2 linked regions of the Notamacropus eugenii genome follow. The protein of the gene in region 1 purifies or fractionates together with the protein of each later gene. This does not show direct contact. Links are inferred from orthologs where the notes say so. Each region holds a gene or a part of one and is shown in the gene's direction. Other genes may lie near its edges.

Evidence for each region.
Region 2: the proteins of PEX5 (region 1) and ACOX1 purify together in Homo sapiens (affinity purification with mass spectrometry; 3 studies listed by BioGRID, with this or other methods). This does not show direct contact. The link is inferred for Notamacropus eugenii from reciprocal best matches to the Homo sapiens genes PEX5 and ACOX1.

Annotation. Positions count from the first base shown.
Region 1 is NC_092874.1:195,639,316-195,654,692, forward strand, and holds the start of PEX5 (peroxisomal biogenesis factor 5), read left to right. Parts: upstream 1-7,076; 5' UTR 7,077-7,176; intron 7,177-7,659; 5' UTR 7,660-7,743; coding exon 7,744-7,890; intron 7,891-7,975; coding exon 7,976-8,011; intron 8,012-8,463; coding exon 8,464-8,596; intron 8,597-8,805; coding exon 8,806-8,937; intron 8,938-15,377.
Region 2 is NC_092873.1:342,209,114-342,224,936, reverse strand, and holds the start of ACOX1 (peroxisomal acyl-coenzyme A oxidase 1), read left to right. Parts: upstream 1-7,231; coding exon 7,232-7,340; intron 7,341-7,656; coding exon 7,657-7,816; intron 7,817-14,252; coding exon of another isoform or gene 14,253-14,413; intron 14,414-15,823. Other genes in the region: CST complex subunit TEN1, read right to left, coding at 5,655-5,747, 6,736-7,233. UniProt on the Homo sapiens protein: Involved in the initial and rate-limiting step of peroxisomal beta-oxidation of straight-chain saturated and unsaturated very-long-chain fatty acids.

The DNA of each region.
Region 1 (15,377 bases):
GATGTAGCCAAGTTGTCCACTTGACAGCCTTGAGGGCAGTATTAGTGGTCAGCAGGATTTGGAGAAGCCTCTACCCAATGGCTCAATTAATCACTGGACAACAAAATATATCTGTAGTCCGTAGAGTCTGGAGGTTTAATAACGTCAATCTGTAGGTTTTCAATGGTAGGGGCAATAAATAAAGTCAGTCTGCAGGTGTTTAAATGGTAGGGTCACCTATTTTCTCTCCTGCCTCCTTTTGTTATAGTTCTCTTTTGTGAGGAGTTAAACTGCTGACAAGAAAGTTAATTAGAGGCCACATGATAGGCCTTTCATCAATGCAAACTGTGACTGGCAAAGTTGCAGTACAAGGGCCTCAGTTCCTAAACTGGAATCAGTCCAAGCAGAAATGATAAGGAGCTTACAGAAAAGTTAACAGGTCCATAACACACACAACATTAACAAAATAAGCAAAATTATAACAGGGTGAATAAAGAAATCCATATAGCTACAGCTTTAGGGGGTCAAGTCCTTCGGTAGTGTCCAAGATGTTCAGGAGTCTGGCGAGTACCTCCTATGCATCTCTCAAACAGCTGTGTATGGGTCAAGGCAGGTTGGTGGAGGTATTTCTGGACCGTCACCTCCTGCAGGTTGGCTGCACATATACCCAAAGTCTAAACAAGGTTTTAAAATGAGGTCAACTCAAACTGACTGCACAAATAGCTGACTTTGCACATAAGACATGTATACAGATACCCATAAATGCAATTTAAAAAGTGCTAAGTGCTATAAGTACACAAAATGCTATTCAGAGAAATTAATTCTGGCTGGCCAGGGTTGACAATGGAAGTCAGGAATACCTCTCTCCCTGTCATAGTCCACTAATCAACACTAACCTATGTAAAAGAAAATGGAATATTACTCTGAAATATTAAAATTATGGAATTCTCTATTTGGTTCATCCACTGTCTTTGCAAATTTTTCTTGAATTTATTATCTGTCTGGATGTGGGTATTCTTTTTAATCACTGACCTTTTGGAATTGTGGCTTACCATTGCATTGATCATTGTTGTTAAGTCTTTCAAAGTTAGTTTTCTTTAGAAAGTAGTTATTGTATAAATTGTTCTCTAAGTTCTGCTCACTTCATTTGGTATTAATTCATATAAATCTTCTTAGAAATTTCTGAAACCATCCCTTTTACCATTTCATATGATACAGTAATATTCCATTGCATACACACATATATATATCTGTGTATACAGATATATATACATATACATACATATACGTATGCATGGACGTATGTATATGACCATAATTTGTTCAGCCCAATTGATGGGCATCTCCTCTTTTTTAGTTCTTTGCCACAAAGAACTGCTATAAAAATTTGTATACATATGAGGGTACTTTTATTTTTTCTTTGAACTCTCTGAGAAATATATCCAGTGTTATTTCTGGATAATAATAATAGGTAGCATTTTCTATAAGTACTTTAAGTTTTGCATAACTCTTTAGTTCACAAATACTATTTATTAGTTTACAAATATTATCTCACTTTATTCTCACTATAACCTTGGGATGTAAGTGCTACATGATGTCATTGATCCTTTCCAAGAATGAAGGATGAACAACAACAATCCCCATTTTATAGATGAGGAAGACAGAGGCTAGGTGATTTGTCAAGGGTCATATTTGTTGTTGTACAGTTCTGTCTCACTCTTTGTGACCCCATGGATCATAGTGCACCAGGCCCTTCTATCCTCCATTACCTTTTGAAGTCTGTCCAAGTTCATGCTTCTTGTTTTCATGATACTATCTATCCATCTCATCCTGTGCCATCCCCCTTTTCTTTTGCCTTCAATCTTTCCCAACATCAGGGTCTTTTCCAATGAGTCCTGTCTTCTCATTATATGGCCAAAGTATTTGAGTTTCAGCTTTAGTATTTGACCTTCAAGTGAATAATCTGAATTAATTTCTTTTAAGTATTAACAGATTTGATTGCCTTGTTGTCCAGGGGACTCCCAAAAGTCTTCTCCAGCACCACAATTTGAAAATGTCGATTCTATGGTGCTTACCTTTCTTATAGTCCAGCTCTTACATTCATATGCTACTACTGGAGAAACTACAAGGACCTTTGTCTACATGGTATTTGTCTTTGCTGATGCGGACTTTTGTTGGCAAGGTGATGTGTTTGCTTTTTAGCATGCTGTCCAGATTTGCCATAACATGCTTCCAAGGAGCAAGTATCTTAATTTCACAGCTGTGGTTGCTGTCTGTAGTGATCTCTGACCCTAAGAATATAAAATCTGATTCTTCTTCTTCTTCCTTCTTCTTTTCTTCTTCTTCTCCTCCTTCTCCTTCTTCTCCTCCTCCTCCTTTTTTCTTGTCTCCCTATTTGCCAAGAAATGGTGGGACTAGTTGCCAAGATCTTGTTTTTTTAGATGTTAAGTTTCAAGCCAGCTTTTACACTCTCTTCTTTCTCCCTCATCAAAAAATTTCTTAATTTCTCTTCACTTTCTGCCATCACAGTGGCATTGTCAGCATATCTGAGACTGTTGCTAGTTCTCCCAAAGACCTTAATTTCAGTTTTTGGTTCATCCAGCCTGACATTTCACATATTGTATTACATATAAGGTGATAATATACAAACTTAAACTCCTTTTCCAATCTTAAACCAATCAATTGTTCCACGTTCATGTCTAACTGTTGCTTCTTAGACTGTATACAGATTCCTTAGGAGACAAGGTCCTCTTTGAGGACCTGTCATATTTTGTTGTGATCTGCACAAAGGATTTAGTGTAGTCAATGAAGCAGAAGTTGATGTTTTTCTGGAATTCCCTTGTTTTCTTCATAATCCAGCAACTGTTGGCAATTTGGTCTCTAGTTCCTCTGCCTCTTTGAAAACTATCCTGCTCTTCCAGTAATTCTTTGTTCACCTAGCTTGTAGAATTTTAACTATAACCTTACTGACTAGTGACATGAGTGCAGCCCTTCTGTAATTTGGCATTGTCGTTTTTTAGGATTGGGATGTAAGCTGATCTTTTTCAATCCAGAGACCACTATCCTGTTTCCCAAATTTGCTGGCATATCAAGCATAACACTTTAACAGCATCATCTTTTAGTGTTTTAAATAGCTTAGCTGGAATTCCATCACTTTCATTAGCTGTATTGTTGTATTTGACTTCATGCTCCAGGACTCTGACTCTAGATCAGTAATCTCACCATCTTGGTTATTAGCGATGCTAAGATCTTTCTTATATAGTTCTTTCATGTATTCTTTCCACTTCTTAATTTCTTCTGCTTCTATTAAATCTCTACCATTTTTGTCTTTCATCATGCCCATCTGTGTGTGAAATTTTCCCTTGATGTCTCTAATTTTCTTAAAGAGATTTCTTATCCTTCCCAGTCTTGTTTACTTTTATTTCTCTGTATTGTTTCTTATCTCTCCTTGCTATTCTCTGGAATTCTTCATTCAGTTGGGTATATTTTCCTCTTTCTGAAGAGTCATAACCACTAGTTAAATGTCTAAAACAGGACTTTAACTCAAGTCTTCCTGACTCCAGGTCCAGCACTCTATTCACCGTACAATTTTGTGACTTTTGGGGTATATTTCCAAATCTACATATTTCCCTATCTTTTCCCATTGTTCCCCTGATCCCACTCTGATACTGCCTATGAGATTTAGAGCAAATCCTTTATCTTTCTAAGCCTCAATTTCATTATTTGTGAAATGGGGGGATTGTGTTAGGTGGACTCAAGCTCCCTTGCAACTGTAGAGTTATTTCTCTAGCATGTGGAGACATTAGGAATACTTGTTACAGAAATCAAATGAAATTTAATAGGGATGATATAAAATCTTACAGTTGGATTTTTAAAAAATCAACTGCACAAGTACAAGATGGTAGGGGGGATGAAGGTGGACTCTGGTATATGATTAAGGAGTAATAATTCCTGTAAAATTGGCCTAGAGGGTTTAGAAGACTCAAGTCAGTAATTTAACATGGTAGTCAGAAAAGCTAGTAGGGCCTCAGACTACATTAACATAAATATAGTTTCCAGAAAGGGGTCATACAGTGGTCATTTGAAAAAACTAGGGACTTTTAGGAGAGAAAAGCAACTTCACTGGAGGTGGGGGTGGAGTTTGTGTAGCGTAACAGCACATTTGGAAATGTAATGGGTCTTTTTTTTTGGTCCTAGACTAAAAATAGGAGCAACTTGACATGAAGAAAAGCTTTCTAAAAATTAGAGATGAGTAGGATGAGAAGACATGGGTTCTCCATTACTGTAGGTGTCTGAGCAGAATTGTGATGACTATTTATCATTGACATTGTAGAGGGTATTTAGTTCTTCTTAGGCATTGTTGGACTAGATGACCAAGAAAGAACAATGAATTTGGAGAGAATCTGCATTAGAATGCAGACTCAGCTAGTTACCCTCTTTGTGACCTTAGGAAAGTTATCTAAATTCTTTGGCTCTGTTTTCCTCATCTGTAAATGAAGTAGATGGACTAGTTGATCTCTGAGGTGGGCTTTGCTATATCCAGAGTGCCATCTACCACCTTCATCTTCTGAACTCCACTATAGGTTTAGTAAACTCAGACAGACAAAACTCCCAGATACTTTCCTCCCCCCCTTCCCCCCATGAATTTCCCCCCAAAACCACAAGGTTATCTTAGAATATAGGTATATTCTTGATCATTAGGTCCTGTGGGCCTAATTATTGCTATCTTCTGATAGCTGGGGAACATCACTTGTCCATCTTGTGATTTCTTACTCTCCTCCCTTTTCCTTGGTGCCTCTGTTCTGCTCCCTGGAGAGAGCCTAGGTTTGATGGTGGTTGGAGGCCTGATAATAATACAATATTTTTGCTGAGTTTCCCTTACCAAGATTATGGAGATGTCTTAACACATCCATAACCCTTTGCTGCTGGGAACAAAGAGAATAAACCACTAGAAGCCTTAACTGAAAACAAGAAAGCAGCAAAAGATAAAGTGGGCCAAGGGAAGAAAGAAGGCAATATTGCAGCATGAGAGAGAACTAAGGCTGACACTATTGCCCTGAGGCTCACAGGATTTCTAGGGGGGCTAATAGACCTTAGACATCATCTAGTCCAGAGGTTAACCTTTTTTAGTGTGTGTCATGGACCCCTTTCCCCTTGCTTGGAATGCTCTCCCTTCTCATCTCTGCCACCCGGTATCCTTCAAATCTCAGCTAAAACCCCACCTCTAGAAACCAGCCTTTCTTGGTTCTCCTTAATGCTAGTGGTGTCCTCTCTCTGAAATTACCTCCAACTTAACTTACCCTGTACCTATCTGAAGAAAAAATTTTGTATTTTTCAGAGATCAAAAATCCACCTTCTCCTTCTCAACTTGGAAAATTAAAAACAAAGCCCTCGTAACAAGTCTGCAGTGTAGCAAAACAAATAAACCATTGGCCGGTCCCCCAAAGTGTCTCAATCTGCATCCTTGTAAATATCTCCTACGTACATATCATCTCACTCATTATAATGGGAGCAAGGCACTGTGGGTAACAACTGGGGTTTGGCCCTTCTTTGTCCCAGCCTTGTGATTCCGAGCAAGTGGCTCAATCTGTCTCCCTCGGTGTTCTCATCTGCAGATTATCCGATAAAAGCACACACACAGCATCAGAAGAGGAAACACGTGGCAACTCCTCAATCTGTAAAGTGCTCGTCATTATTAATAATAATCATCTCCAGCCCCCGGCACTGTGCTTGGGAGCACAGCAGCCAGTTGCAGGTGGTGCCCGGATATTTCCGACGCTGCCTGTGTGACCCTGGGCAAGTCCTTTGATTCCTGTGTTTTCAGTTGCTGCGGCTGTACGATGAGGATGAGAACAGTACTAACCTCTTAGGAACCTCAGCTGAGAAAACGTAGGCAAAGGGCTACATAAAGGCACTCCGGGGCAGTTAGGTGGTGCGGGTTCCCCGCCTCATTTCACGCCAGTCCCAGGTGTAGGATCCCGGGGGTGTGGGCTGGTGAGGTCCCCACTCAAGCTGACCACTCAGCAGCATCTCAAGCATAAACCACAAGCCCTTTATGACTCTTGCACAAGCAGACCGGAGGAGGGGAAGCGTTCTGCAGAAGCAGAGGCCGGGTTAGGTAGCGGAAGAGCACCAAGACCCCTCAGCCTTTTGGCCAAGAGCCTCAGCCAGCAGTCTCTATTTCAGAAGTAGGGAATGGGAGTCAGGGAAACCGGAGGCAGGGGCGAGGGCCGGTTTCACAGCTTCAAGTGTCCCCACGTCATAGCCTGTCTGCTTCACTTTAGCCTTGGGTCCCCACACTCTCGGCCAAGGCACTTCAGTCTGCCTCGGTTTCTTCCACCGTCAAACCGCTCGAGCCCCCCGCGCTGTTGCCAGGGTCCAGTGCTAGAAACCTAGGGGCTCCCTTCTCAGAAGGTTGTTTAAACGCATGAAAGGAAATAAACATGAGTGCAAAGGAGACTGACTGCTTGAAAATATAGTCATCGATGGAAAAAAAAAAGTCCGTGGACGGCGGGGTGAGAAGCCCCGCTGTGAGTGCAGGCACATGTTTTACAGAGGAGGAGACTGAGGCCCGGCCCGAGGCCCGCCCATGCGGCGCTCCGGGGCGTTCAGGGCCGATCTCCGCTCCCGGGAAGGCCAGAGGGTTGGCACAGACGGCCTCGCCAGTCGGGGTGGAGGAAGTCCGGGATCCTGCCCAGCAGTCCGCGGGGCGGAGGCGCCCAAGGCCTGTTTCGCAGCACAGGCCGTAACTAACGCTAAGCGCAGGGAAGGGCGGGCGCTGATACCGGAAGGCCTATGCTCGCAGGGCGGGGAGTGGGGGGAGAAGGGGGAACGGGTCTCCGCTCCGCGGGCCGAGGCCTCCCCTTTAAGGGGCCGCCCCCTTTAAGAAACCGGCCTTGTCCGCGCCCACTCCGCGGCCCCTTTAAGCGCGCGCCCCGCGGGGCCCCGCCCCTTCCTCCCCACCCCCCCCCTTCTTACTCCGAGCTTGGTTCCTTTAAGCGCGCGCCCGCTTGGGGGACCGCGCGCCCGCTTGGGGGACCCCGCCCCTCCTCCTCCTCTTCCCCCTAGCCCGCTCCTCTTTCCACCCTCGGCCGGCTCCCGCCCCCGCCCCCGCCCCCGCCCCGCAGCCGCACCCCCGCGCCCGCCCCGCAGCCGCACCCCCGCGCCCGGAGCAGGTCTGGCGGCCGGCGCGTGGAGGTGAGCGCGGGGGGCCGAGGGGAGCCCGCTCCAGCCCTTTCCCTGTCCTCGCGGGACCCCGGGGGCGGGGCTGGAGCCGGGGGCGGAGGCAGGAGGGGGGGCCCCCTCGTGGCAGACCGCGGGACAGGGGAGCGAGACCAGGTGGGGGTACCACGGGCGGAGGGGGCGGGGGAGGAGCAGGCTGGGGTCCCGGTCCAGCCCCAGGGCTCCCAGCCTGCCCTGCCTCGGCGATGTCCCGGGCTTGGTGTCCCCCGGGCTCTGGAGCCTTCCGGGGATATAACGGGGCCTGCTGACCTCTGTCCTCTGACCCCCGACCAGCCCCCCGCGAGCTGCGGATGGGGCGCTCCCCTCCGCCCCGGTCCCCGAGCCTGGGCAGCACCGCCTTCCCAGGGTGGGAGGGCGGGTGGAGGCTGTGGGGAGAGAGCAGGTCCCCCAGCTTGCTATGATACAGAGAGGATCTCCCTTTTCTCCCCACCACCCTAGGGCTGGAGTTGGGGTAGGGGTCCCCTCCGAGGACCGTGCTGAGCGGAGAACGCGGGGCTGCCCGCCACAAGGCCTGCGGTCATCATGGCAATGCGGGAGTTGGTGGAGGCAGAGTGCGGTGGGGCTAACCCCCTCATGAAGCTGGCAGGTCACTTCACCCAGGACAAAGCCTTGCAGCAGGAAGGGCTGCACCCTGGCCCCTGGCCCCCGGGAGCCCCAGCCCCCGAAGCGGTGAGTCTTCGGGAAGGGGGCACGGGAGGGAGGGGAGGCGGAATGTGGGCACCCCTCTGACCGCCCCCTCTTGCCTCTCTCCTAGGTCTCCAAACCTCTGGGAGTGGCTTCCGAAAATGAGGTAAACATGCACGTCTCCTTCCTGCTACCTCTTCTCTTGTCTCCTTGCCCCAGTGGGAAGAGCGCTGGAGTTACAGGACCTGAGTTCAGATTCTGTCTTTGCCACTTACTACCTTTGTGACCTTGGGCCTCTGGGCCCGCTGTCCTCAGCTGCAAATGAGGGATTTGGAGTAGGTGACCTCTGAGATCCTTTGTGACTCTCAAGCTGTCATTCTGTGATACCTTGTTGCCTCTAAGTCTCATTCCCCTTCTTTTCCTTCCCTGGCCTGACGTGCTTTGGCTCCCTCTCTTATCCTTTTGCATGCTTCTCACTGGAGTTTCCCGTTTTCTTTGTTTCTGTAGTTTCCACGTTCTTTTCTCTCACCTGTGGTCTTTGTATGCTCTAGTTTGCAGGCTTCTCTGTCTTCCCAATCAAGTTTTCCTATTGCTTCTTAATGGTGTCTTTCCTGACAGTTGGTGGCTGAATTCCTTCAGGACCAGAATGTCCCACTTGTGTCCCGGGCTCCCCAGACCTTCAAGATGGATGATTTGTTGGCAGAAATGCAAGAAATTGAACAGTCTAGCTTCCGCCAGGCTCCCCAGAGAGGTAGATCCATGGCCCAGTGGGAGGGAAGATGGCCAATTTTTGTGCCATTTTGGGAGACCCCTTACTAAGGGCTGGTCATTGGCAAGAAGACTTGGAGGTAACGGAAGAGACAGGATGTGGTACTATCAGTTGAACTCAACTTGAGTTGCTGAGCTTTGTTTTTGTTTTTTGATTTTTTTTTTCATTTTTTATTCATCTCTTTCTCTTAGCCCCAGGTGTGGCTGACCTGGCACTATCTGAGAACTGGGCTGAAGAGTTCCTGGCAGCTGGAGATGCAGTGGACGTAGCTCAGGATTACAATGAGGCTGACTGGTCTCAGGAATTCATAACTGAAGTTACAGGTGAGGCTTTAAATGAGGGAGTCTGTAACCCCCTTCAATGAAGCAGTCAGATTCATTTCTCCTCCCTTTTCTCCCCATTCCTCCCCAATCAGGATATAATGCAGTTTCAACAACTTGATCCTTAGGTCCACTGGCTCAATTTTATAGGCAGATGGGCCTTTGACTTCCATGTAGGCCAGGGGTTCTTAAGCTGTTCTTAAGGTTCTTAACCTTAACAGACCCTGGACTGTGTTTTTTTAAAAAATACTTTGATAACTGTATTTTAAAAAATAATTTTAAAATAGAGTTTAATTACTTTCATTTTTTCAATTAACAAGCTTTTAAAAAAATCAATCTGTCTCTCCTAACACTGTCGCTACATTGATTAAAAAAATTTTAAAGCCCTCAATACATAGCCTACATAGTCCAGCAAAGCAAATTGCTACATTTACCATGCCCAAAAAGGTATGTCATACTGTGCCATCTTAAGTTCATCACTTCTGTATTGGTGAATAGCTTCTTCATCCACATTCTTTGGAACTAATCTTTTATCATTGCATTGACCTTTCAAAATTGTTTTTCTTTATGGTGTTATTTAATAAATTATTCTATTTCTGCTCATCTCACTCAACATTAGTTCACAGCGTCTTCCCAGTTTCTTCTGAAAGTGTTAGTTTCATCATTTCTTATGGCACCGTAATATTTCATTCATTCATATCCCATAATTTGTTTAGCCATTCCTCAATAGGAGGATACCCCCTTAGTTTTCAATTTGTGGATATCATAAGATCTGCCCTTTTTTTAAAAAAAAAAATCGTTTTGTTGGGGTTTAGGCCTAGTAACGGTATAGCCTGGTCAAAGGGCATGCACAGTTTGGTAACTTTCTGGGCATAATTCCAAATTGCTTTCCAGAACAGTTGGACCAATTCACAGCTCAAGCAACAGGGTAAAAAGTACAAAAAGTATACTTTTTCCCAGAGCCCTTCTAACATTTGTCATTTTACTCTTTTGTCATCGTTATTAGTCTTACAGGTATGAGGGAATCTCAGAAGTACTTTAATTTACATTAAATTCTTAGGGACTTAGAGCATTTCTTCATATAATTGTTGGGAACTTGGGTTTCTTTTTGAAATTTCCTGTTCATATCCTTTGACCATTTATGTAATGGGAAATGGCTGTTAGTCTTACAAACTTGAATCAATTTCTTATGTATCTTGGATATGAGACCTTTATCAGAGAAACTTGCTGCAGAGATTTTTTTCCCCCACTTACATATTTCCTTTCTACATTAGATATGTTTATGTAAAAAACTTTTTAATTTTACTTAATCAAAATTGTCCATTTTATCTTGTGTGATCCTCTTTAATACTTATTTCATTCATGAACTCTTGCCCATAGATCCTTGCTCCTCTAATTTGTTTATGATGTGACTTTTTATATCTAGGTCAGGTTTCTGTATGGAGCATATCTTGGTGTTTGGTGTGCAGTGTTGGTCTAAACCTAATTTCTACCAAGCTTCTGTCCAGTTTTCCCAGCAGTTTTTGTCAAATAGTGAGTTCTTCTCCCAACAGTTGGGGTCTTTGGGTTTATCAGTGTACTACTGTGTTTGTTTGCTTCTTTATGTTGTGTGTCTAATCTGTCCCACTGATAGACCTCTCTCCTTTTTTTTTGACCAGTACAAAATCTTTCTAATGATTACTGCTTTATAGTAGTTTGAAATCTGATACTGATGACCCCATCCCCAACCTTCCCACTTTTTTTCATTTATTTGAGATGATTGCATTTTTGTTCTTCCATATGAATTTCATTATTATTTTAATGAAATATTCTATGAAATGTAAAATATTCTAATAGGTCTATAAATATTCTTTTGAGAATTTGAGTAGTACAAAAAATGAATTTAGATAGTATTTTCATTTTTATCATGTTGCTTTGACCTACTCATGAGCAATTAATGTTTCTCCAATTATTTAGGTCTGTCATTATTTCTGTAAAGAGTATTTTATAGTTAGGATAACTATTTTAAAGAGACATGTATGTTATGCATTTAAAAACATTATCCTAAGAAGGGGTTTATAAGCTTGCCAGAAGAGTACATGGCACAAAAAAGGTTAAGAATCTTTGATTTATATGATGGCAGGGAAGTGAAACTGGTTTTGGACCAAGAAAACTGGTTTGTATTGGTGTCTGATAAGGTAATGATTCATTGCTCTTTGGGGGTCAACCATAAACTAGGGTTGTAGAGAGCTAGATATTGGTCACCATTCTAGAACCTCATCACTGTAGTCTTCTCACACAGAGAAGTCAGGAGTGGTTAGCCATCTCTAGTTAAGGTTATGAGCTTATAGCTTGTCTTGGCTGTGTTGCCTAGTCACTTTGATCATGTTTTGGGCCCCTGACAGCTTGAGATAGGAAGCTCCCTAGGATCAGGGTAGTGACATGAAAGCCCTGGGCATTCTTAATTTATCTTCTGAAGTTTGATCAGTATGGAAGACTGTCTGTCGCCTCTGTTCTTTCCCCTGGTGCTTGGTGGTACAGCAACAGAGGAGAGATTTCTCGAATAGTGTAGTAGCACAGAAAGTTCCTATTTTGCTTTTGCCCTTTGGGAGAGCCAAGGGATTTGTAGAAGTAGGTGCTGGGGTTCTGTTGTTAAAGTTACCACAGCTGCCCTCTAATTTTAGGTCATGAGGATGTGACCAGAAGGCCCTCTTCTGCCCGTTGTTGGTTTTTTTTGTTTCACATATCTGTGAGGTTGTTGTTTTCTTTTGAAAGGATCAGAATTTGATTGGCAGCAAGTCATCTGGAAAAATAAAAGCTCCACAAAAAATGCTACCTGTGCTGGTATGGGAAACCTTTTCTAGGACTTTCTGCCATTTTCTGTCAAATTTCTGATATTCCCTTTTCCTCATTTGGGGAAAAAACTCCAGTCTTGAGACTCAGTTAAGCCAGATTACCTGAGAACATTTGTAGATGAAGCTGGAGAGGAGACAGCAAATAGAAGTGCTGGTGAACTGCCTGGATTTGGATTCTGCCACCTCAGGACTAGATACAATATATGAGCATTGGTTAAAAAGGGTTAAGAAGAACTGGAGCTAGGCTAATTCATACAAAAAGATCTGGGTGGTACTGATCCCATTTAAAATATTTTCAGCAGTTGATTCAAGATACGTAAAGAAGGGAAGATGCTAAAAGAAGAGAAAAGATGGTAGAGCAAGGTGATTCCCTTATTGATCCAATAATATTCCAAAAGACCGTGTCAAATGCTATTCCGTGTTTTTAAGCTTTGTTTGATATTGACACTCAGCAGATAACAAGTCATATGTTCACCAAAAGCCTTTGCCAGTGTCATGGAAGATGACCTTTGATGGACTCTAAATAAAAGAGAGATTTGATGGGGTGGTTTTCCTAAATATTTCTATTTGTGAATGATGTTATGCTGGTTGCATTGAATGCCCTTGGGGACTCGTCACTCTGATGCCAAGTGAATAAAGACTTTAAAACAAATAGAAAAAGACAGTACTATAATACAGAAGTCAACCAAGGAGACTTTTTAAGGATTACGTAAATATCATTTACCTGGACTGTAGCATACAGTTGGATGAACAACCTGTTGAATTACTCTAAGGATATGCATATCCTGGGTCAACACTGCAGGTGGATAGTGACCTGAATCCAGAATTGGCACCAGGTGAAGATTAGGCTGAATTGAATTTGACTATGCATACAGCACTTTTCAATACTCCTACCTTGCCTCAAAAGTCCATCTTTTTACTAACACCAGTTTTTTCTTGGTGATACTATTTGGCTACGAATAGAAGAATACCTTGATCTGGAGAGAATCACGGTTACAGAGCTAGTAGATGTAAGCCACCTGCAGCACGTGAGAAGCGATGCAAAAGACACATGTATGACACAGTGAAGGAGGTAAGCCAGGTATAAGAATGAGCAAAAATAAATGGACAATATATAGAAATGAATGGGAAAGGAAGCAAAGATCTTCAGTGTGATGTTTGGACAAGATTATAAGCATCTCAACCTATTCAGCTATAAGTTATGGAATATAGATATTTACTTATGTTTATGGGGATCACTAAACAAGGGTTGGAGGCAATCACAAGAGAAAATTGATAATTCTGATTACATGAAATTGCAGGCTTTTTGTAAGAAAAGAATTAATACAGCTAGGATAAGAAGGAAAGTGATTGATCTTTGTATCAACTGTTTGTAACAAGGATCTGGTTCAGAACATATAAGGAGGTAATAGAAATATATAAGGTCAGAAGTTATTCCTCTTTGTATAAATAGTCAAAGGATATAAGCAAATAGCTGTCAGAAGAACAGAGCTGACTTTTTTACAAAGGATAGTGTGACATAGTAAAGAGAGAACTGACCTTGCAATCAGAAAGACATGGGGTTTTGTCCTGCCTTTGACACATACTTGGCTGCATTATTCTGGGCAAGTCACTGACCCTCTTAGTGCTCTAGTTACCTCTTGAAGACTAAATTGTTGAGAAGGTGCTGATCTGCATTGGTAGAGGAAGTTTCCTCAGAAAATTCTCTGTGCCACTTAAATCACAGATCTAGTCCCTGTCCTTATGACCTTTACTTAATATTCAGGTTACATGCGTCTTTTGAACTTCATGTGGCATACAGTAGAATGTGTTGGTGTTTCCCTTTTTTGCTGCAACAAAGAGTGCTGCTTGTATGTTTTGGTATACATTGGAGCTTTCCTCTACGAAGTTCCTACTCGTATGCCTACTCAAGGAGGTAGCCCAGGATTTCTGAAGGCTATGCCATCAGAGTATGGATCTCTGGCACATTCTACCTAGCTAGAAAGACTTTGAGCGTGGTCCTGGTAACAGACGGTCTTTTTTCTCAGAACCAAACCAATTTCTGATGGAGAAGTACATCACTAGTAGGCTGGCCATCTGTTGAGGAAATGTCTTTGGCTGTGGCGACACTTTAGAGAAAATTGTTAAATGGCTCTCAGTTGTGTGTGGCCCTTTTCTACTCCTGTAGTGATTCAAGTAGTAGAGTATTAGGAAAAGTGTAATGGGTGCTAAGAATCACATGGTCTTTATACCCATGATGAACTTCAGTTTGACTGTTGATGTTCTAAGTGTGAGCTCCTTGTCCAGTGACCAAGAAGTGGACATATTGTAAGACAAGTCAAATCACATCTGTCTGGATATTCTTGCTATTAATGAAAGAAGATGAAAGAATAAATAGTTTTTGAAGAGGTCAAAAAAGTTGATGAAATAGGCTTTATTCTATCTCGAGCAGTTACAGGAAGCATTTCGTGGGACATTTGGTCATCACATTGTGCAGTACTAATGATGTTTGCTAAAAGAACATCATGATGATAATTGCAGCTTACACACTGACAACTTTTGCTGAGGATAAAATAAAGAAATTCTATAAAGAACTTAGTAATATTCTCCAAATAAAATTAGCCACTACTCTGATATTGGTGACTTCAGTGCAAAAATGGGAAAAGGTGAGGATGGGGAGAAACAAATGGGCAAATGTGTCTCAGGGGAAAGAAATGAGAAAAGCCAAAGTTATATTCCTTAAATGGAAGCCTCATACTCTTATATCATTCGTATTTTCTTTTTGAAAAAGATTAGTAGGTTCTGGACATGGTGAGCACTAAATAATAGCACGAAGAATGCAATGTTGTTTTTTTTATCATAACAGGAAGAAAACTTGTTATAGTTACCCCTGAGTCAGCTATGTATATACAATGAAGCCATTGATTCATCAGAGCTAAGATGAGAATTTGTAAAGAGAGAGAAATAGAAGAAAGAATAATAGTAAAAAAATTGGAATGCAATTAAAATGATTAACCCTTGAATTATTTAAATATGTAATTGAAAGTTAAAAATAGGAAATGGACAATAGAACCTATATCAACACCAAGCATAATAATTTTGTCCAGAAGCTTAACCAGTGTTAAGTTAATTGTCACAAGGAAACCAAAAGAACCCGGTAAGTTCCTCAGTCAGCAAACATCTAACTTGCTAAAAAGAGAGTTATCTTTCTTAACTGCCAATGACAAGAGTGGGTTAGAATATAAACTCATCTGTAAAATCTTACAAAGGAAGACGATGGATGATTATTAACATTGTCTCATAAAACAAAAGTGGTGGAGGGCAAAATCAGTTTAATCAAAGCCTGGCAAGAACTCCAGCTAAGCAAAATCATCTCAAGGGCATCCAAGAATGAAAATGGAAGGAGGAATACAAACAGAAAAGAAAATTAAAGTATTTGCAAAAGTCATTTTAGCAAATTTTTTTTTTAGTGGAACCACCATATTGGAAACCCTAACATCACAGTCCACAAGGTACTTATAGAGGATGTAGCAATTACACTAAAGCAAATAATGATGCAGCCAGATTGGACCAAGTAAAGAGATAAAGGAAATCTGTCCTGGAGGAGATATGATTATGAAGACATTGACC
Region 2 (15,823 bases), on another chromosome or scaffold:
TGTCCTGAGTGCAAAAATTGCTAGTCATGGCTCTGTTGCCAGAATAGGAACAACATGACTTGCTACTTGATCGTATATGAAAGCTGGGAGAGAGTAAGATTAAGGAGGCCTGTGTAACTAGGTTTTTGAGGAAGGATCAGTTCTGAAGTTGTCAGAGAAGTTGGCAGGCTAGGCTTAATGACAGGTGTAGAGAGAAGAGAGCCATCTCAGCTGAGAGAATCTCTCCCTTTTTCAGGCCTGAAACCTGAAACCAGGTTTTCCTGGCTCTGAAGGAAGCCAGCTCTCTATCCACTTTGCCAATATGGCATTCAAGGATATTAAGATAGTAATTTAAAGAATATCTTTGAAAATCCAGTAAAATATCACTCATTTTGAAAAGTTCAAATTCTAAATATGTTTTAATAAAAGACAATTTTGGGCACTACTTGTATAATCATTCCTTTGTTCAGGTATTTACTTATTTATTTGCACATTAGTCATGTTGTAAAGAAGAATCAGAATCAAAGGGAAAAATCACAAGAAAGAAAAAAACAAAAAAACAAAAAGGAAAAATAGTATGATATGCATTGAGATTCCATGGTTCCTTCTCTGGAGGTGGAGAGCATTTTCCATCATTGAGTCTTCTGGAATTTCCTTGGACCATTGCATTATTGAAAAGAGCTAAGTCTATCAAAGTTAGTCATTCCACAATCTTGCTGTTACTGTGTACAATGTTTCCCTGGTTCTGCTTATTTCACCCTGCAACAGTTCATGAAAGTCCTTCCAGGTTTTTCTGAAGTCTACCTGCTCATCATTTTTTATGGAACAGTAGCATTCCATTACATTCATATAACACAACTTGTTCAGCCATTCCCCAATTGATGGGCATCCCTTGGACTTCCAATTCTTGATCATCAAAAAAAGAGCTGCTATAAATATTTTTGTACATGTGGGTCCTTTTCCCATTTTTATGATCTCTTTGGGATACAAACCTAGAAGTGGTATTGCTGGATCAAAGGATTGCTGGATGCACAGTTTTATAGCCCTTTAGGCATAGTTCCAAGTTGTTCTCCAGAATGATTGGATCCATTCACAATTCCACCAACAACGCATTATAGTGTTCCAATTTTCCCACATCTTCTCCAACACATCACTTTCCTCAATAGGTATTTATTAAAGGCCTACTCTGTGCTGGGCCAAGTGCTAAGATAGACAATTCTGGAAAGTCTGATCACACTCACCCTATGCTTAGAATCTAAGAGGAGGACTGTTATCAATCAATCATCATCATAACTGACATTTACATATTGCTTAAAGGTTTGTAAAGCACTCTGCATCGTATTATTTCCTCTTTTGTAACAACCCGGTAACGCAAGTCCTAAAGACAAAGGTGCAGATCTGATTTCATCAGTGTAGGGATAGTTGGATCTTCAATGTAGATCAGCAACTCTGTAATTTGTCAACTTACACAGTTGTCCAGGGTGGTGATGTGGTTCATCCTTCATTTGGAAGAGGACCATCACAGGCTTGCCTGGTGTATTGAGAGGTCCTGGGGGTCAAAATTCTTGTTTTTCAGAAGCCTGATCTTCCTGACTCTAAGGTCAGCCACCGTGATACATTTCAAAATCTCCATTTTATAAGTAAGGAAATTGAGGTTCAGAGGTTAACTGATAAGCCCATAGTCATGCCATTTGTATCAGGGATAAGAAACTGATTCAAAATCCAGCTTCCCTAAATGCAGGTAGAAGGCTGTTACAAACTAGAGGAATCAAGGAAAGAATTTGTGAAGGCAGCATTTGCTATTCATACAAGAAAAGTTCTGATAACATAAACTGAGGAAATCTGACTAAAAATTTCACTTCATAGTAGAGCTCCATTATATAATGAATCCTAAACATAAATCTTAGTGATGCCTCTACTTTGTGCTGTCCATTCAGTAGAAATAAGGAATACCAACCATGTCAGGATAATCACAAATTCCTCATAAATACCAAATAACTGAGTTCAACTAAATAAATAAAAGGACTATTTCTGCTGTGACTTAAAAAAACAACAACAACCCGGTTCTTTAACCAGTTTACTATATCTGACAATAATATTTCCCCAACGGTGGGGTGGTGGGAAAGAACACTGGATTAAGATGAGGGAAATAAAAAAAATCTAACAGTTATATAGCTGCCTAATATGTGCCAGGCATTGTGCTATGCACTTTTCAAATAATATCTCATCTGAACTATGCCCAAAAGTCTAAAGCCATGCAGACCCTTTGACCTAGCAATACCACTACTAGGTCTGTATCCCAAAAGAGATACAAAAACAAAAAGGAAAAGGACCTATATGTACAAAAATATTGAGAGCAGCTCTTTTCTGGGGGCAAAGAATTAGAAATTAAGAGAATGCCCATCAATTGGGGAATGGCTGAACAAGCTGTGACAGGTGATGATGATGGAACACTACTGTACTATAAGAAATGATGACCAGGACGCTCTCAGAAAAACCTGGAAAGACTTGTATGGGCTGATACAAAGTGAAACGTACAGTGTACAAAGTAACAGTAATAACATAAGAAGATCAGCTGTGAATAACCTAGCTATTCTCAGCAATACAACAATCCAAGACAACCCTGAAGGACTTAGGATGAAAAATGCTATCCATCCCCAAAGAAGAACTGATGGCATCTGAATACAGATGGAATCATACTTTTTTACTTTATTTTTCTTGAATTTGTTTTTGTCTCTGTTTTCTTTCGCAATATGACTAATATGGATATGTTTTGCCTGCCTACACATGTATAACCTGCATTGAATTGTTTGCCTTCTTAATGAGGGGGACTTAGGGAGGAAAAAAGGGAGAAAATTTGGAACTCAAAGTTTTTAAAATGAATATTAACAGTTGTTTTTACATGTAACTGGGGAAAAATAAAATACTAAATTTTAAAAAAATATGTCTCATTTGAGCCTCACAACAATCTTTCAAAGTTAGATCTATTATTATCTCCATTTTACAGATGAAGAAGCTGAGGCAAACTCAGGCAAAGTGACTTGACCAGGGTCTCACAAGTAGTTGAGTGTTTGAGGCCCATTTGAACTCAGGTCTTGCTGACTCCACTATCCTGACTCTCCCTCCCTTAATTACATGTTACTCTGGATGCCACTTAAACATTCTGAGGCCTAATTTTTCCACTTGAAAATGGAAATAATGACTATTCCAATTCCCATAGCATTATGTCATGAAGATATTAAATCTGCTGAATTAATTGATGATAATAAATTACATGAGTTCTTTGTAAACATTAAAGCCTTACATAAATGTAGGTTCTTATTACTGGCTTCAACTGACGTAATTAAAACGTAGAATGCTAAGAGCAGTAAGAAACCCTAGGTATCGTATATAGACAGAAAAAACCAATCAACCAACCTAGAGCCAAAACTGGAGAAGGGCACTGTACTATCCTGGAAGTAGCAGTCAGGATAAGAATTCAGGTCTCCTGATTCCTAGATCAAACATTTTTTCTTCAGTTTTCTGATTTCCTTCTAATCTTGGCTGTTTTGATTTTGTTTGTGCAAAACTCTTTCTAATTTAATGTAATCAAAATTATCCATTTTATGTCTTATAATGCTCTCCATCTCTTGTTTGGACCTAAACTCTTCCCTTATTCACAGATCCGACAGGCAAACTATTCCATGCTCTCTGACAGTCTTTTATTGGCTCCTCATCCTCCTGCTGTCTCTTAAATCACAAACCTTAAGTGTTCCCTACTGCATACTGAATAAAGGTATAAATTCTTTATCATGCTATTTAAGGCCTTACAGAAACTGGCTCCAATCCACCTTTCTAGTCTTCTTTCATCTACTTCCCTTGATGTACTGTACATTCCAGCTAGATTACTTTCTTTTCCCTTTACATCATCATTTCAATTTTTCTCCTCCAAAACAAAAACTTTCTTATAACAAAGAACAACTACGCAAAACCACATAAAATGGGAGGCCATATCTGCCAATCTATAAAATGTTTTGTCCTACCAGTTTCCTGCTTCTTTGTGGTGAGATATTAGGTTTCATTATCTGTTTCTGAAAACCTTTATTGGTTTTTCAGGTAAAGTTCTATCTTCTCTTAGTGATATTTTCATTAATATTATAGCAGCCATTGTTTACACTGGGTTTTTTTTTCTTTTGGTTTACTTCTGTCATTCACTCTGTACCAGTTCATACAAATCTTCCCTTCCATTTTGTCTGAATTCCTCATATCTATCATTTCTTACTATAAATAGTTTTCCATGGTATTTATATGCCATAGCTTTCTTTGTTCAGCCTTTCCAATCTAGTGGTCACTCACTGTCTTCAGGTCTCTACACCACAAAGAGCTCTGTTGTAAATATTCTGGTATATACTAGACCTTTACTTCTGTCTTTTAGTTCTTTGGGTATATGCCCACAAATTAGACTACATCTTCCATTCTTGGTCTGTAATGCTCACATATCCCTGATTTCTAGAATGTACTCCCACCCCATCTTAATTTTTTTGGAGTCACTGCCATCATTCAAAACCTAATTCCTTTGCTACTTCTTAAATAAAGATTTCCTTGCCTCCCTGAGTTGAAAGTAATCCATTTTTTCTCAAAATTTTTAAAAAAATATTTATCTATCTCACTTAGATTGTCAAATTTATACTCAAATTTCTCATAATATTTTGAACAGATTGTACTTATCCCACTCCCATTTGCATCATGATCATTTGGACACATCTTTCCTGCCATTATTAGACTGAAAGAAATAACATAGTATAATGCAAAACACATTGGATTTGGAGTCAAAGACTTGGCGTTCAAGCCCTACTCTTACTTTCCATGACTTTATGCAAGTCCCTTCAATTCTTATGGTCTGTTCCCTCATACATAAAATTAAGGTGTTGCCCTGTATGATTTCTAAGCTCTTCTAGCTCTATCTTGAGAGCAGGGTCCAGGAGCCTTGTATCCCCAACGCCTTTGTATATGTACTTTCTCAAGTACTCAAATGAATCTATATCTCGTTAATTAGGGAATTCCAAGGATTCAGTTCACATCTTGTCAATGCCTGCCCATCCTTCATGTCCTCCCATAAATTCATCACAAAAGGTCCTCCTGGAGGTGTTCCACATTTTCTCTTGACATTGAATTCAAGGGTGCCAGTGAAACAAGCTAGCTGGCCCATGCCTCCTTCTTGTCACTGATCAACCATCTTTTTCTCTCACACAGTTCCTTGATGGCCTTAGTTATTGTTACAGCCTGCTCTCATTTACACGTGCCTTTTCATTACCCTCTTTATGACAGTCATCTAAAATTCTTCTGTTGCTCAACAGAAGCAGCTTTATTTCATGTCTCACTTTCACTTAGCAGTTTTGTACATGTAGACACCTTAAGGCTGGGTCAGAGATTTAGGGAGGGAAAATGTCAGATACTGTGCTAAGAGCTTTTTTTTTTTTTTTTTACAAATACTATCTCATTTTATCTTCATAAAGATCTTATTTGATTTTTACCTTGTGAGGTAGGTACTATTCCCATCATCATTTTACAGTTGAAGAAAGTGACTTGTCCAGTGTCACAGAACTAGGTCTGAGGTTGAATGTGAACTCTTGTATCTTCCTGATTCCATGCTCCACTATACCATCAGCTGCCTCTGATAACCTTTACAAGAATGTTTAGGAGGCAATATGTTCAAGAGAGAAACATATGAATTCAGAGTTATAAGATGTAGCTTTCTGGCTCCACCGTTTGGAATCCATGTTTTTCTTCTGCAAGATGAGGGCACAGTATTAGATCATCTCTACGATCATAGGATTATTCTCTTAGAACTCAAAGGTACCTTAAAAGTCATCCAGAGGCACTAAACAATACATAAAGATCCCTGAAGGGGAATAATTGAGTTAGAAAACCCACCTTACTATTATCTTTCTTCGTATTTTGGTAAATATTTCCCAACTGCCTTGTAACCTGTTTCCTTTAGCGCTAGGCATGTTGCCAATCAGGCCCGCCTTTCACACCTGGCTTGGTTGTCAGTTTCCTAAGGGCCCCTGCTGCCCAAGATCCCACACACAACTGATTGCAGCACGGAGATTTGAAGCCAGCTCTAAGTCTGTCTAACCTTGTTCTCCGTGTCTAACACACATGTGCAGGATGACACGAAGTCCTCAAAGAATCACTGATTACGGCGATAGGTACAGACCTAAGTCCTGGGGGTACAAACAAAGGCAGAAGACAGTCCCTGCCTCCAACATGCTCACGCTCGGAAGAGGCGGAGGACGCACACCCCATAGGCGTACACATCTACAAGGTAACTAAGGGGGAAATGGGCGTCATCTCGGAGCGGGGGGGCGCCAGCTCTGAGGGGCGTCTGGAAGGGCTTCTGGCACAACGAGTTACCAGGCCTGAGTCACGAAGGAATCGAGGAGTTCGAGGTGAAAAGGGGGATTTCAATACTTTTGGGCACCCAGAAAATTCACAGCACTACTCATTAAAAAAATATATATATATGTATATATATGACTCCGGAGCTAAAATTTCTTCCTGTGGCGAGAGAAGAGTACCAGGGGAGCCCGAGCTTTCCAGGGGGGAAGGTCAGTTTCTCCCCGACCTCCGGGCACGCCTTTGTCCTTGGACTTCCGGGTGCGGGGGTGGGGGTGGGGAGGAAGTCGGACCGAGGCTCCGAGGCGCAGGCGCAGGGCTGCTCTCTCCCTTTGTCCCGTGTCCCTCCCCCGCCCCCGTCCCATTGACCTCACGCACCTGTCCCAAGGTCCCCACAGTCGTAGCCTTCCGCGGTGAGGGGAGAGAAAAGTAACAATTTTCCCCACGTGAACGAGGGTACATCACGTGACGGGAGCGAAGCCGTCCGAGGCGGGAGCCGGAAGGCAGGCTGACGCCAGGCCGCACGCCCGGGCCTGCGCGGCAGAGCCGAGATGCGGCGGCGCCCTTTGCCCCACGTTCCGCCCACAGCCCGGCTTCCACACCTCGAGCGAACGGGCGGTGGCCCAGCCTTGTCCCCGCCCTCCTCGGGCGCGGGCGGAGCTCCGCTCTCGCTGGGCGAAGGTCTCTCGGCCCCTTGAGCACAGGGCCGCGGTTACGTGCCCAGGGCGAGGGCGGACTCGGGGCGGTGCTGCCTGTCTTAGGGCCCTGCTTAGATCTGGGCCCGAGACTCAGCAACCCTAGAAGGGAGTGAGCAGGCTGCCCGAGCCGCGGACGTCTGATCGCCGTCACCTGGTGCCCTATCACCGCCCTCACCATGAACCCAGACTTGCGCAGGGAGCGGGACTCCGCCAGCTTTGATACGGAGAAACTCACTTACGTCCTGGATGGAGGCCCCGAGAGGACCCGGCGGCGCCGGGAGATCGGTGAGAGCGGCCGGGCTGGCTCCGGGGGCTGCAGGGGCTGGGGGTGAGCTCAGGCCCTCCAGGACTCGGGGACCCCTCCCTGTAATCGGCTGCTGCCTTCCTCGAGCTCGGCCCAAATCCCGTCTTGTGCTGGCAGCCCCCCTCAGTTCCTCTGCTGATGGTCTGTGTCCGTGCGTAGTTGTTGGTGTGTGGAATCCCCCATAAACCGTGGCCTCTTGAAGAACCTTCCTTTTTGTTCCCTGAATTTAAAAACGCTCCTCGCAGATGGTAACGGGTTTCTGAATGTTGTGTCTCCCCCCTTCCCTCCAAACTGCAGAGAATATGATCCTGAGTGACCCGGACTTTAAGCATGAAGACCTGAATTTCCTTACCCGGAGCCAGCGCTACGAGATGGCTGTCAAAAAGAGTGCCACGATGGTGAAGAAGATGCGAGACTTTGGCATAGCTGACCCCGAAGAGATCATGTGGTTTAAAAAGTAAGTGTGCCAGCAGTAGAGGTCCCAGAGCTTGAACCGCTCCTGGGATCTGCGCTTTTCTCATTCCCAACTTATCTAGGCCATGGTGTATGATGGCTTCTTGGATATATGCCTTTCTAGTTCTTAATCTTCTGGGTCAGAGTTGTAACCTTTTTTGGTGTCATATGCTCTGGCAGTAGCAGAAGAATGTCTTTCAAAGCATAGAATTAAATTAAATTTAGGATTAAAAAGGAAGCCAATTCTGGTGAAGTAGGTATCAAAATTGTGCTTTTAAATTCATAGATACCAGGTTAAAACCTTGTTCTCTATGGATTAATGTTAACTAATTTTAAAAGGTAGCTTGTAGTCTGCTGGGTCAATATAAATAATGGATAGGTGGAAGGCCAAAACGAAAGTTTTTTTCCCAACTTTGCATTATATTATTCTTCAGAGGCATCATAAAAGAGGCATTGTGGAACAACTGGAATGACAGTCCTAGGTTCCCATCCTGCCTGTGACACACTCTCATCTATGGATCTTAGATCACTTAGTGTCCAGGGGCCTTATCCTTCCCTATCTTTAAGGAAAAGGTGGTTGGATTATGAATTCTGCAGCCTTTGATTTTGCTTTAGCATGGAATTTTGGAGAATTGTCCATCGATACAGATTTTTTATTTCTTACTCTCAGGTACCTGCTATTTGAAGGTACACTTTGGTCACAACTTCTTGTTTTTTAGAGATTTAAGTCCCTCAGAAAGACCTCCCGTGCTTTGAAAATTTGGGGAGATTTCTTGTAGTGAGCCCAGAAAATGGTAGCAAGAACATTCTTGAAAAACTGAAATGTGAAGTTTTTATTTTTGTCTTGGTGTAGGATGTGGCATATAAGCCTTTTTAACTGTAATAAATTACTCTTGTCAGAAATCATGAAAAAAGTGTATTGATAGGAAAACCAACAACTGATGTGTTCAAATAGAATTGATGGAAAGTGTTCTAAGAATTGAACACTTACAGTTGGTGGTTATTTATTTATTTATTTTTATTCTTATTTTTTTTTTTTAATGTCCTACAATCACTACCATAAAATTAAGATTTTATCCCCCCCACATCTACCCCCCACTACCCCCTCCATCCCCACAACAGCATACAGTTCTGTATAGGTTCTACATATACTTTCCTATTGAGTACATTTTCACTATAGTCATGCTATGTAGACAAACTAAAACAAATGGAAGAAATCATATAACAAATCAAAACATGATACACAAAAACACACACACACACACAAACATGATCTGCTACATTCTGCGAATGAATTCCATATTTCTTTCTCTGAGTGTGGAAGGCATTTTGCCTTAGAAAACCACCATTGGGATTTTTTTTTTTCATAAGTTCTTGCATTATTACGAAGTTCCAAGTCTACCAGAAAAAACTCTTGTACACTGTGGTCATTGCTGTGCACAAAGTTCTCCTGGTTCTGCTCCTTTTGCTCAGCATCAGATCATATAAGTCCTTCCAGGCCTCCCTGAAGTCTTCTTGTTCATCATTTCTTACCGAGCAATAGTACTCCGTTAACATTCATATACCATAATTTATTCAGCCATTCCCCAATTGATGGGCATCCCCTTGACTTCCAGTTTTTGGCAACTACAAAGAGTGCTGCTATAAATATTTTTGTACATGTGGGACCCTTTCCCATTTTTATGATCTCTTGGGGATACAGTCCTAGTAGCGATATTGCTGGGTCAAAGGTATGCACATTTTTGTAGCCCTTTGGGCATAGTTCCAAACCGCTCTCCAGAATGGTTGGATGAGCTTGCAGCTCCACCAACAATGAATTAATGTTCCAACTCTCCCACATCCTCTCCAGCATTTATCATTTTCTTGTTCTGTCATGTTTGCCAATCTTACAGATGTGATGTGGTACCTCAGAGTTGTTTTGTTTTGCATCTCTCTAATCAATAGTGAGTTGGTGGTTATGTAAATGGAATTCATTTTCTGTGTAGGCCCTAAACAAAATCTGAATTGCTGATAGGTGCCAAACATATACTTTGCTGTTGGAACCCCTTTGTTTTGTGTGTGGGTGTTCTGGGTTTTGTTTTTTGGTTTTTTTTAAGAAATAAAACAGTTTTAATGTTTTCTTTTACATTCTGGATAAATAGTGCTCTGACTTAATAATATGTGGTGGTTTATTTGGTTTTGAGTGTCTTATACTCAATAAATTTTCCCTTTCATAGCAATAAATATTTTTGAACAATCAAATTATTTATGCCCTAGACAATCCATGTTTTAAAAAAAACTGATGGAAATATAAAGTGTAGTTAAGTTCTCCTTTTTGTAATAACTATATTGATTAGTTACTTTAAGATGTCCTTGTACATCTTTATTTTTTACATCTTGTGTTATTCTTATAGTTCCTGTGGCCTAGTAAAGACCATGAGGAACAGGACAGACAGCTGAAAAATCTTCTATGGGAGCAAAGTGGAGAACCTATGGACTGACAGAACTTTAGAGTTGGAAGAGACCATGGAGATCATTTTACTCAGCTCTCTTATTTGACAAGTAGGAAAACAGATTGAGAAAGATCAAGTGACTTGCCCCAAATCAGCCAGCCTCATGGTATATCTAGGATGGCATGTCAGAGTCACATAAATTTATGGCACAGGAGCAAGCATAAAGCATAGGCCACATATGGCAGACACACCCTAAAGTGACCATTCTGATTCTGTCCTGGAAAGACCAGGAGCAAAGCTCCTCCTACAATGTCCTTGCATACCTAGGCACCCTTGATCTTGGTTCAGTGCCTAGGTGTATGTGGCAGATCTACTGAATTCCACGAATGTTCTTTTACCACATCACACTCCACCTTGAAGACATTCTAAAGAAGCCATAATAAAAATTGTGATAATGTCAAACTTTACTCCCAGCAGAAAACATTGAAGTTGAAATAGTAAAATCTTACACATTTATATACCTTTGGCAGAATTTAAGCAAAGAAAAAATTACATACTGAAGTCCTTTCATTTACATCTAGTTTGAGATATGTCAGAAGTCATATGCTTCTTTAAAACCATTCAGTCAGAAAATTAAAAATAAAATAGGAGTTCAGCAGAATTTAATCCCAAATGGACTTCATAGGTTTTTTTTTTTGAGTGGGTTACACTATACAGCTTTATCAGATGGCATATTAAAGTGAGATAATTTAGTTTTTAGAAGTGATTTGAAGTTCTAGTAAACTCTTTTCCTGTGAATTTTCCATTAAAAATAAATCTTGTGCTATTTATAATGTTTAATGTGTGATATGTTTAATATTTACAAAATAATCTATCCAGGGATCTTTTCACTATTACTAAAATTTGAACTTTTCTAGATAATCCAACTTGGAGTACTACTCACATACTTTTAAATGCTCCTATTTTGATAGTTTGTATGCCTTGTGTCTATGGAGATATTGAAGAAGAGTATCTCTAGTAAATCACATTTTGGTTTTGAGTCAATTGTGATGGTAAATTTTACAAAATATTATTAACCCCCATTTATAAGGAGACATTTTAAAATGACAAGTTAGATACTTCTGGAGAGCCTGACTTACATTTTTTTCAAGTGAAAGGTGGGGTATCCAAACAGTCTTGAAAGAGATTTATTCCTTGTAATTGTGAATATAATAGATAACCAGACTCAAGTGAAGTCATAATGAAACAGAACAAAGTTCCCCATTTGGTAGGAAATACTGTTTTTCCTGTATATCATGTTTCACTTTAAATATTAAAAGATATTTTTTAAAAATGATCTTGATGATATTTGTCAGGTATTTGATCATCATTTATTGAAATAAGAAATTTTGTCAAACAATAATTCCATTCTTGAAGGGTGTTGAACCAGTCAACTACTGTTTTTTTTAATATTAATTTCTCTTCATATTAGAATATTCTGCTTTATAAGAACACTACATGTGCAGAATGAATATTTGTAAATTATTTTCAAATGGTCATGTTGAAGAATAAGGGCTTTCTGAACCATCACTTGACAAAATAGACTTTATCATATGGGGAACATTAGAAAAACAATTTCATTTTTTCTGCTGTGCAAAGAAAACAGTCACTGAAACTCAGTTTTCTAGTTTGATATATTTAAACTTGTGTGGTTGTGGTTTTTCTTTTTCCTCTTAAGTATAAATTGAATTTGTCTTTTGAGTTTCATTTTAGAGTGGTAGTTGAGAAGTACCAGTGAATTTCTAGTCCTGATATTAGGATTTTGAATAGGTAGCTGTTTTCATTTTAGATGTCATGCGTTTTTACATGCAGATGTATAGATGCCTTATTCATTTGTCATTATGTCATCATTAATTCTAGAAATCCCAAAGGAATTATTTTACATATGTTGTTTCTTCATGAAGAACTGTGATCAGCATTTCAAACAAAGGCTACTATTCTTTTAATTTAAGTTATTACTCTTTATTTGTGAGGATTCCTCTCAGATTTACATTCTTGCCTAGATTTTTTTGGAGAGTGATTTAGGAATTACAAATTCTTGTAAGACTTGATGTCATTAGGTATTAGAATCCTTTTGTTTTTGAGATTGATTTATGAAATCATTTTTGTCAGTGAGATTTTGGTGTTTAAGTGCTGTTGGTGAAATGAGTGACCAGATGGGGAAAAGACACTGAATTTGACATCAGAAGACAGGTTTGTCACAGCTCTGGAACTTAATTACTTGTGGCAATCTTGGGGAAGTAATTTTATCTCTGGGCTTGAGTTCTCATATTTATGATGTTGAAGAAGGTAGGCTAGATGATCTCTAGGATCTCTTTCAATTTTAAGATTATGTAATGCTAAATTATGCTGTTGTTAACCCAAATAACTTTGGTAATGAACTAACTCCTTTCCTTTCCCACAAATCATGTTCGATCTTTGGTGGTGTTCAGGCATTTTTAATTAGTGCATTATAATAAGGAACTCATTGTATTGTTTTGTTGGCACAAAAACAGGATTTGGCATCCAGAATTCAGTTCTTCAGCCAGACATCTGTAACTTGGGTTAAATCCATTTCGATTATTGGGATTAAGGAATATAGAATTAGTGTAGAAGTTTGCTCAAGTGATTGAGATTGTCGTATTATTGAGATAGAAAAAGTAAGTAAAGTGAAATGAGCACTGGGTTTGGAGTCAGATGACTGTTTGAATCTTAATTTTGCTTTACTCTGTGTGACCTTAGGCAGGTCTCTAAACTTTACCTGGCTTCTTTACCTTGAAATTGAGAGGGTTGAAGTCAATCTAAATTCCCTTCATTTCTAAGTCCTTTAGAATTGCTTCTCTTGAAGAAATAAGGAAGAATGATGACCTATACTTCCTTAATAATGGGGGTGGTTTGATGCCTTTCTATGAACAGTAAGCCCATCTGAGCTCTTTTTCCTTCAACAAATCCTCAAAATAGGAATAATCATTTCTTTTTCTTTATTCAAGAGACACTGTAAAGAACATTTCTTCAGTTTTATTTAATTCTTTAAATGTATTGGAGATTGACAGTATATTTACTGTATTATTTTTAGTATTAGTATTCTATAACAAAGGTTGATGGGTTTATGTGATTTGTTTCTATGTTCAGAACTGATTTTGTATGTGGATTAAGTTGAAATGAATTTGATTGTGATTTAGTTTCCAGTTAGACATAAGTAATTTTATTATGTTAGTGTTTAATGCCAAGATCACTGAGGATAGACTTTTGAGATATTTACCTCACTCAGAATTTTTGTGTCCTAATACACTTTATGGGCAGCTAGGTGATACAGTGTATATAGACAAGCGTAAGACATGGAGTCAGGAAGACTCATCTTTCTGAGTTGACATGTGGCCTCAGACATTATCTGTGTGACCCTGGGCAAGTCACTTCACCCTGTTTGCCTCACTTCCCTCATCACCACACCAATGTCTTTGCCAAGTAAACCCCAATGGGGTCATAAAGAGTCCCACACGACTGAACAACAGAAAAACAGTGAACATACTTTACCCCCAGACTGTGTGTATTCTCATGACTGCCTTTAGTTTCCTAGGCAGAGAAAGGCTAAAAAGAGTTGTTAGCCAAAAACCGATGAACGCTATGGAGGGATTTCTTTTGGTCTTCTATGAAAATGCTTTTTTCAGTTACTGTCATAGGAAGGATTTACTTTCAGAAACTAATCAAAAGCAGTTTTAAGAGGAAATCTCATCTGAATTATTAACTATGCTAAGAGCAGAACTACCAGAGACCATAGACCAGGAGTTTCAATTGCAGGTTTATTAGATTGTAAGATAATGAATGTGGTTTGTATGGAAAATATTGCTACTAAATTGAAAGATAAAGGGTGAAACCTTTATGACCTCATGGGTGAGAACTATTTGAAGAGAAGGTTGGTATGTAGGAAAAAATCTTTTTAGGCAGTACTACTAGAGTAAGGCTGAGATCCTTTTCTTTTCTCTCCTGTAGACTATCTCTGATCAATTTTGTGGAACCGGTTGGCCTCAATTACTCCATGTTTATCCCTACCTTGCTGAATCAGGGCACCACTGCTCAGCAACAGAAATGGCTGTCTCCATCCCAAGGACTCCAGATAATTGGCACCTACGCCCAGACCGAGATGGGGCACGGTTAGTCCTTGTCTAGAGATCAGTGAGTGAAACTATTAGAAGACTCTAGCTGACAGGAACTTTTGACATTGTGCCCTTTGAAGTCTTATTTAAAACCAGACTTTAAAAACGAACTTTTATGTTTTCTTCAGCATCTTGTCTATCTCTAATAATTTGTCAAGTATCCTTCAGTCTTATTTCTTGAACTAGTTTGCAGAGTAGTTTGTAAGAGTAAGTGCTGATAATGTTTAAGGGTGGTGAAACCTCTTCTTTATATAAGGTTAGGTCCTGCTATCATTCCTGCATTTCTTGCCACTATCTGATGCCTTAACAGTTTGTTTAGTATAATTTCTAGAGCATTAATATCTTAGCAATGTAAGGATATCATTTACCCAGGAGAATTGCGTTCTGTTATGCCAGGGAAGCAGGGATTGAATAGGATGTAGAATGCTAGTAATGAAAACCTTCCATATTATTTGTTAGGCCCCAAAAAGAGTTAGGATTCAGTCAGCAAGCATGTACTATATGTCAGGCACTATGCTAAGTGCTGAAAACATAAAGACAAAAAGAAGACAATCCTGGCCTTCAAGCAGTTTACATTCTAGTGAGAGTACAGTATAAACATATGAGCGTACACTTATGGAATACGAGGTAACTTTGGAGGGGAAGGCACTAGGACCAAGAAAGAGCGCATGCAAAAGGTGGTGCTTCAGCTGAATCTTGAAGGAAATGAGGGATTCCAAGAGATGGAGGTCTGGTGGGAAGGCAGTTAGTTCAAAGATGCAGAGATGGGAAATAGAGTCTTATGTATGAGGAATAGCAAATAAACCAGTCTGGCTGGATTGTGGAGATTGTGAAGGAGAGTAATGTGGGTGTCGATTTCAAAGTTAGGAAGGAGCTAGGATGTGAAGAGTTTTAAATGCCAAGTAGGAGTTTATATTTGATAGGTAATAGGGATCCATTGGAGTTTTTACTGACTGTGAGGTGGGGAAGTGTTACACAACAGATCTGCACTTTAGGAAAATCACTTTGTCATCTTTCTGGAGGATAAATTGGAAATGTGAAAGACTTGAGACAGTGACACTGAGAGGCTGTTTCAGTTGTCCTGGTGAGTGACGGCTGGTGACTGTGTGGCTGGTGAGAAGGGGAACTGTGTAACCAATGTTGTAGAGATAGAAACAAGATTTGGCAGCTGGTTATGTTGAGGTGTAGGGATGCTGGAACCCTGAAATTCCAGGACAAGCAATGCAGGTCCTGCCGTGAATTAATTCAACCCAAACCTTCTTTCTGCCAAAGACAAGGTTTATTAGAACACTGGTCGGGGTGGGTGAGTTTCTAAGAATCTGCTATATTTGTGACACTTGTATTGATAAGCGGGCCAGACTGTTAAGGAATCTGAGCAATGTAATGTGGGGGGGAGGGGCAAGATGG